2 linked regions of the Xenopus tropicalis genome follow. The protein of the gene in region 1 binds, or shares a complex with, the protein of each later gene. Links are inferred from orthologs where the notes say so. Each region holds a gene or a part of one and is shown in the gene's direction. Other genes may lie near its edges.

Region 1 (3,650 bases):
GTTCGGGAGCTGGGGTTTTCCAGATTAATTATATCTTAGTTAGGTACAAGGTACTGTTTTATAATTATAGAGAAAAATAATTTTATAAAATTAAATGGAGTCTATGGGAGATGGCCTTTCCATAATTCAGAACTTTCTGGATAACAGGTTTCCGGATAAGGGATCCCATACCTGTACATACAATAATAAAGAAATATTTTTTAACTTAAAATTTGGGGGTGATTAGATATTTTTTAGTTGTTTTTTGTCCCCATACAGGGTTCTACTTAGTGTTATGTATCTGATGGTTGAAAATATTCGTCAAGAATCAGAGAATGATGACCCAGAATGGAAAATTCTACGTGCTAATTTCCGTGAAGAACTTGGTGAGGAGAGACTGTATGGATACCACTAAAACAGGCTTCATCAGTGTTTTTGCTTAAAGTGGTGACATAATTGGTGGCTTAGGACAAATATTTCCCTTTCATTTAATCTGTTAAAGGAGAAGGAAAGGTAAAAACTAAGTAAGCTTTATCAGAAAGGTCTATGTAAATACAGCCATAAGCGCTCACAGAAACGCTGCACTGAGCCCACTGTTAAAAGAAACAGGATTTCTTCTCTCTTTGTTTTCCTGTGCCAGAGTCTGTGCAGCTCTCTCCAGCTCCCCCCTCCCTCAAGAATGCTAAGAACGCCCTCCCCCCCCTTAGGGCCATTCAGCAGGAAGCTTCCTCATAGTCTTACAAACTGCGCATGTACAGGGGTCTTGGTCTTGGTGCAGGAGCCTGGCATTATGGGAATTTTCTTTACAGAGCTCAGCATTTTTTTTTCCTATGAGGCTTCTGATCATCTGAACAGGAGAAATATGGGGAGACTTAAGGGCACCACTGAGAGAACTGAAGGTATGTCTGCATCTTGAGATTAACTCTTTATTAGCCTTTCCTTCTCCTTTAATGGCATTAATGACTGGATCAGTGTGACTTGGCTATTGATGATCATGCACTAAACAACCATCTGGAAACTGGTATGTTTTAATAGGTTTTAATTGGGCCCTACACTTTAAAAGAAAAGGAAAGCTTTATCAGAAAGGACTATGTAAATACAGCCATAAGCACCCACAGAAAAACTGCAGTCAAAAGAAACAGAGTTTTTCTTTTCTTCTTCTGTGTACACATGTCTTTTAGTGTTAGACTTCCTTCTCTCAGAAAAATTCTTCAGGTCACAGGCACGAGCCTGCTCAGGTTTCTCCTGTCTCCCTCTCTCCAGAGATGTATTTAGGTCCGGTGCCTAGGGCTTATGGTGATATAGGGGCATAAGAAAGCATATTAGCATTTTCTGTCCTGTTAGAGAAAACGCCACATGTGAAATAGCCCTAAATAATCAGATCAGATTGTTAAGGTTTAATGGCCTTTTATCACAACACAGAAATAGTTTAGCAATATTATCCTTCAAAAATAAAATAACATTTACTGTTTGCATGATTATTCTATCCTGTGTAGTGTCAAAATATTGGACCAAATACAATTTTATGTTCCTAATCAGTGGAGAATTGTGCTTAATGTTTTTTTATTGGTTCTTGATACAATTTCAAATATTTTTAAAATTAATATTATATATGATAGAAAATAGTATTTATGGAGCATTTCATAATACACGTTGTCTTTCTTTGTAGCCTTCCCTGTGCATCCTGAGGAGCCATTTGCTCATCTCCTCTTTGCAATGGTGACCAAATTCTGCAGTGGTCATTGTCCCCACTTTCCCATGAAAAAAGTTCTCTTGCTGCTCTGGAAAGTTCTGTTGGTATGGTCCCAAATAATTTATTTAAATGTATTAATGACGAAATCCTATGCTACATATATTATTTCTCAGTTCTCTCATCTCATAGAAAAAAGAGTGAACAGAGAAATATATTTCTATTTTAAATGTTATAATGTTAAATATTATAGAATTACGTAAAATAGCTATTCTTTCCTAGAGACACCTAAAAGCCCCGCTTAAAGGATTTGGGTACAAACACATTTGCTGTCCTACATATTCTAGGAATTGGTGAATGAATGATACATCAATATTTTCCCTTATCTGGGACCATGGCCTAGGTTTGAACCTTCAAGTGGGGCTTGAACTGAAACACTTTGACAACCATTGTATTAGAAAAACCTTGTAATTCAATTTCAGATTTCTTAACAAACTTCAGTGTTGGTTTTCTTATTGAGCTGAATCAAGCACTATCTCATAAAACCTAACATAATCTTAAATATTGCATAAGTGCAGTATCAGACATAGAAATTTGTTGCGTATGGGAAATCACCTGTGGAAGAAGGCATTTAAGAAGGCATTTTACATGTGGTAATTCTTATTCTTCTGGACTGAAAGCTAGTTTCAATCCTATTTTCATGGATTAGAAGGAGTGATCTCCCGTGGGTTACAAAGCACTATGTCTGACATTGCCCTTTAAATATTAGCAAGTACCAAACACTTAATATGGGAAAACAAAAACTATATATTAAATATGTTCATGTATGGGTATATATGGGATATATTTTGAATGTCAAATTTATGCATCCCAATAACTGGGATGGAATTCAAAATAGGTGGCATATCAGCAACAGAGAGACCCAAACAGCATCTTACATGTATCTTATGGCATCTTACAGCAGCCCCACTGCCCCCTGTATGTGCAAAAGTTTTGCTTTAGAACCGTGCTGCTTATGCCACCCTGCTAACATTTTATTCCAATTAAGTTTACATTAGGTGGTTTCCCTGAGCTTCAGAGCATGAAGGAGAAAAAAAGATCAGAACTTGGCTTGCCACCCTTACTGGAGGACAGCATACAGGTGATGAAGAACATGAAGGCTATCTCCCCTCCTACTTATGGCATTGAGCTAGGAGAGCAGCAGAAACGTGGGCGCAGAAGTCGCAGGGTTAGTCTTTTTTCCTTGATATGCTCATACATTTTTTTAAAGTGATTTCATATCTTCTTGGCAATATGTTCTGCTTCTGCAGCCTCAGAATATGCCATTATTCACTAATCAGGGCTGAGTGTTAGAAATATAACAGCCCATCAAGAACATAGGCTTAGCAACTACCTTAGTCATTTTAAACCCTCATGGACTTCAGTTGTGCAGTCTCAAACAGCTGATTGAACTTGGCTTTGCCAAATATACATTAGTTGTGCTAATTATACTATAAAATGTGATATTTTACCCTATTGGGTAGTTTAGTGCTCTGTTTTTTTTTTTTTCTGTCAACAACAAGGTTGTTTGAACATACCTGTAACACTTCAACAACCCAATGATCACTGCATATGATTCATGGAATAATTTTTTACCAGGTTTTTAAAACCCCTTGAATTAACCTCTTTCTAAGCCATTTATTGCCATTCACTTGATCTTATAAACTGGTTTCAATATTGTATTGTATCATGTATAATTACCATGTCAGATTATGGTTATTAGAGCTAATAGTGAAAATAAAGGGGCAAGTGCTATGGACTAGCATTTGTGACTATTGCCTTCTTACTGATTTTCCATTAATGTTTATAAATGTTCTGGCTTTGTCAGCCATTTATTTAAACATTAATTTAAACTTATTTGCAGGACAGCCTTGATCTATATAATGAAAAGGATCCATTTAAGAATGACGAGTTGCAGGGGCCTGAAGAGGAAGAGAGTGAG
Region 2 (4,384 bases), on another chromosome or scaffold:
TAGTGTAAATTATTCTTATTTGCTATATAAACAGTGTAATTTAGAAATAAAAAGTACACCATAAAAATCATGACCGTATCCCTTTAAAATCTAAATTGTAGAGAAACAGTAAAAAATAAAAGATAGAAAGCTTTATGTAAACAATTACATTGAAAATAAGGTGAATGAGGGAAATCACACTATATACAGAAATACATTTCTATTGCATAGCATAGCATAAAACTCTATCTGCGGCCCCACCACGTTCCTAAGGTCTTCTCCCCTCTAGTTACACCCCTGCCTTAAACCAGCCACTGAGATTTTTAATTACCGAATGGTGAAAGTTGCTTAGAATGACATTCTTTTATTATACAATAACCAGTTTGTGTGTGGAGGAACTTGTTAAAAGCTTATGAAACTTAAATATATTTAAATTACAATAAATACACAGTGTGGAAGGTGTGAGCACATAATACTCATCCTCCCAAGTGGGCACTGTACACAATAATACAAGGCAGCATACCAAAGGCATGCTCTATAACGAATAACCACTCTAGGCACATACAACTTCATTTGCCAACATATACTAATTCCATGCAGAACGACATTAAAAAGAAAAAATAACCCTTTATTGTGTCATGAGGTGCAAACCATTGTGCCCTCTTCAAACAGTGGGGCTGGGCAGCACAAAAGCATCAATTACTGACTTGGACTTTACCAAAACTGTGTTTCTGGCTAATGACTCCCTATAAGTGGATATAACTATATATCCCTATAACATACAGAATGAAGCACATCCATGCCAGGAGGGACTGTGTGGTACCACTGCACCTGTGCAAATGCGCTAATGATTCACCGAAATCCCATTCTGTAATATAACGGCACTCACAAGCACACCCCAGCCTGCGTCTCATCTCCTGCTATGTTACAAGCTGTCACAATACAACGGAGCGAAAAGCCCCATTTGCACATTACAATTAGAGAGACTTGGGTAGAGCATGCCAGGACCTGGGAGACGCATGGCAGCTGGGCATGACAGCATGGATACACAGCGCGGTTAAAGCGATACTCTCCGCTCACCTCTGTAGCTGCTCCCACACCACCGCCTCCTCCAGCTGAGTGCAGCCCAAGATTTTTCAGCTGCACCACAAGCTTCCCTGGTAAGTCTTACATCACGACTAACTAGCCAATCAAAACGGCACATGCCCACTTTCACAGCGCTTATTGGTCGGAGCAGGCCGCCCACCTTGCGTACTATCTGACAAGTGGGCATGTTTTGTTATGACAAGCCTTTACCTCGAACGGAATTTCGGGAGATGTAGTTCACCTGTGATTGTCTTGTTGTACGCCGATCATTGAAAAGAACTACGTTTCCCTATGTTCTCGGCACATGTTTAGGTCGGCCTCCTGAAAGGTAAACTCTTTGGACTGATTCCGGGCAACGCCTTGTTTCTTCTTCAGGACGGCGGACACTTCTCAGAGCGAACTTCCGGTGCCTGGGTATAAGGTTCTGGGGTGTTGTGGACACTGGGCCTGGTGAAGCTTCGCCTGTTCTCCGGATATACAGGTATTGCTCCGGTTTCTGGTTCTGGTGTCACGGCTGGTCCGATGCAGTTTGAAGTGAGAGTTGCCGGGTTTGTGGAGCTTCCTTGTGCTGAGTAATGCTAATCCCAGCTGGGCCTGGGGTGTCAGTGAGAGGAAGGAAGAGCCGCTCTGTCAGGCCAAAGGCTACTATTTATCACCGCACAAACTTCAGAGCTAGGAGGAGTCTGTTCCTCCGTGGCTACATTAGAGCCCGGCTTGCTCTCATAAACCCATAATATAGAACTGAAACTTGCTCCAAGGCATTATTAAGTATCTATATATAGAGAGAAACTTTGTGTGTTAGGGCCAGACTCGGGCTCGGGGGTTGGCAGAGCAAAATAACACGCATTCATTCATTATTTATATAACTATAAATGATTACAATTATGGGCAAGAGACCGTACCAGGAAACGAGCTATTTACTGGGGGCCATAAAGTCAAATTCATTAGCAGATTGCGACTTCATTAAGGCGAAGAAAACTGCTGATTCCAAAGGTGCTGATATTAACATTTATGGTATTATAAGTTGAAGGTATGACTGACTGACTAAATGTTCACTTAACAGTGAGTGGTATGAGTTAAGGAGAAGTAAACCTAAATATAGAATTCTGCATAATGAAAGCCAAGTCCAGTCTGTGCAAGTTTCCAATATACACTAATTGCTGATTTGAAAGGACCAGGAAAGTGAAAATGTTACTAAATATTAGTTATGCAGAGCAGCCCCTCATAACCCCAGACAATGACTTTATTTCGGCTGCCATCATCCTGGAGCTTCTGGGTCCAACTTGGCCAATGTTGCTTAAGTACTGGATCACCCCAGTATCATTGCTGGCCTGGTACAGTGCAGCCTGCTAACTTTACCTTTCCTTGGCCTTTAAAGTTATTTGTAATTGCAGTTACCATTAAAAATACTATACATTGTTGGTCCTGACTACAATACTTGTAACATTGTTGCAGTAAAGTACTTCCCTCCATGCCAAGGGTCAATACATTTCCCACAATGCCCTGCAGACTTTTTCTTTTTTCTTCTTTACTTGCTGCAAAACATGCAAGTCATTGTGGGAAAAGGAGTCTTGGCTGTAGAAGTACAGACGATTACAAAAATGTTTTAGTGGTACATGCTTAAGGACTGCTTTCAATAGTGATTACATTTACATATTTTAAAGAGAAACTTCACCAAACTCTACATAAATTTTATTTTAATAAGGAAATAACATGTATTTTTTGAGAAACTTTGCAATATATAGTAACAGTTTTCAGCATTTAATTTTACTTGCATTTGAAAGTAGTATGTTTTGTTCTTTTCTGCCAGTGTTGGACAGGATACCCGGGCCCACTGGGAACACCAACCACCCTCACAGTCTCCTCGACCATTACCCAGCCTCTCTAAACTTAGACCTGGTTGAATTGCAGCTGCTGGTTTGAGTCAGGGGAGTTTGGGATGCAGGGACCCATGTGGACTGGGGCCCACTATGGTTTTTCCTGGTTCTCTGGTAGGCCTCTTTTTTTTATAGTGTTGCAGGAGCCAGCACTTTTCTAGCCAAGGCTCCAGCAGTTCCCACCAGGATCTTACATTCTCTTTCACAGGTCTGTTAATAAGGTAGCTTCTGCTTCGTCTTTAAGGAGTCAGATCTAGTAGTGAAGATAGGGAATAGAAGTAGATTTACATTTAAATTCATTGATTTTGTTTTTAATTGATGGATACTGGAAAGTTGATTAGAATTAAATGTTCTTTCATAATGCAGAGATCTGTTATAAGCATCATCCACTAGAAATGATCCCATACCACAGCTAAACCAGGATGCTATGAATGCAGCAGCAAATTGTTGCTGGTTGTTCATAGACCTAGAAGTTGTTTGAGAAAGTGGTCAGCCCAGTTATATACCAGTCCAGCTACAAATAGAATTACTGGCTGAAAGACCAAAAGACTTGTATGTATAGCTCACACATTAAAATCTGGTGATGATCCAGTCTGTGACATTGTTCTCATTGGAGCCTTTAGTGAAGTACTTTCAGTGTATAGGTGATGTTATGCATTGATTATACCAGATATGTCTTACTTGTAGTACTACACCTGGGACTGAACCATAACTTTGTTTCTTGAAAATAGGCACTGATAACTTTGCCTATCCAGGTTTTTGAAATTTTCTCTAGGGCTATGGCAGCAATCCAGCATTCAGGTAATCATTTTAAGTGGCTTTATACTGGCTGAAAACTCACTCTGAAACTTTGCAATGGTTAAATGTGTAACTTTGGGTTTTTATGACATCTGACTAAAGTTATACTTTTCTTCATGTAGGCTTTAAGTGTCTGGAAAGGGTGTAAATCTCTGTTAATCATTAAGGTTATCACCTTTTCCTTACGTTTTTCTTCCCTCCTCCCCCACCCCCTTTAGTCAATGAGCAATACAGATTCTGCATAATGTTTAACAAATAGGAAAGATGCATTTACAAGAGGGTATGGTTTTATTTTTCTAAAGTAAATTGTGGAATCTGTAATCCAGTTATCCAAGGGTGGTGTTAATCCTACTCACTTTTTTTACTGCTCTGGTTTGTCATGGTGACAAAGGCAATAAGCTGATTACATTAACTGACAATTACTCAAAAGTAGTTAAAGGGCTTAAAAAAAAAAAAAAGTTTGCTTTTGGGTTTGCAACAAAAGACCTAACATTCTATACAATATACCTTTAATTGCAAAGACTTAAATGATTCTCCACTCTTAAGGTGGCCATACACGGACCGATTTTTTACTTACAAACGACCGATTCCCGAACAATCCGATGCTATCGTTAAGTTATCGTATAGTTGGTGGTGTACGAACG

Evidence for each region. The genes of interacting proteins can lie anywhere in the genome.
Region 2: strip2 (region 1) and pdcd10 share a complex: the UniProt entries of both Homo sapiens proteins name them as parts of the core of STRIPAK complex. The link is inferred for Xenopus tropicalis from reciprocal best matches to the Homo sapiens genes STRIP2 and PDCD10.

The regions. Positions count from the first base shown.
Region 1 is NC_030679.2:87,158,267-87,161,916, reverse strand, and holds part of strip2 (striatin-interacting protein 2), read left to right. Parts: intron 1-258; coding exon 259-365; intron 366-1,648; coding exon 1,649-1,776; intron 1,777-2,717; coding exon 2,718-2,897; intron 2,898-3,572; coding exon 3,573-3,650. UniProt on the Homo sapiens protein: Plays a role in the regulation of cell morphology and cytoskeletal organization. Required in the control of cell shape. Calmodulin-binding scaffolding protein which is the center of the striatin-interacting phosphatase and kinase (STRIPAK) complexes.
Region 2 is NC_030681.2:112,895,074-112,899,457, forward strand, and holds the start of pdcd10 (programmed cell death protein 10), read left to right. Parts: upstream 1-1,451; 5' UTR 1,452-1,546; intron 1,547-2,899; exon of another isoform or gene 2,900-3,056; intron 3,057-4,384. UniProt on the Homo sapiens protein: Promotes cell proliferation. Modulates apoptotic pathways. Increases mitogen-activated protein kinase activity and STK26 activity. Important for cell migration, and for normal structure and assembly of the Golgi complex.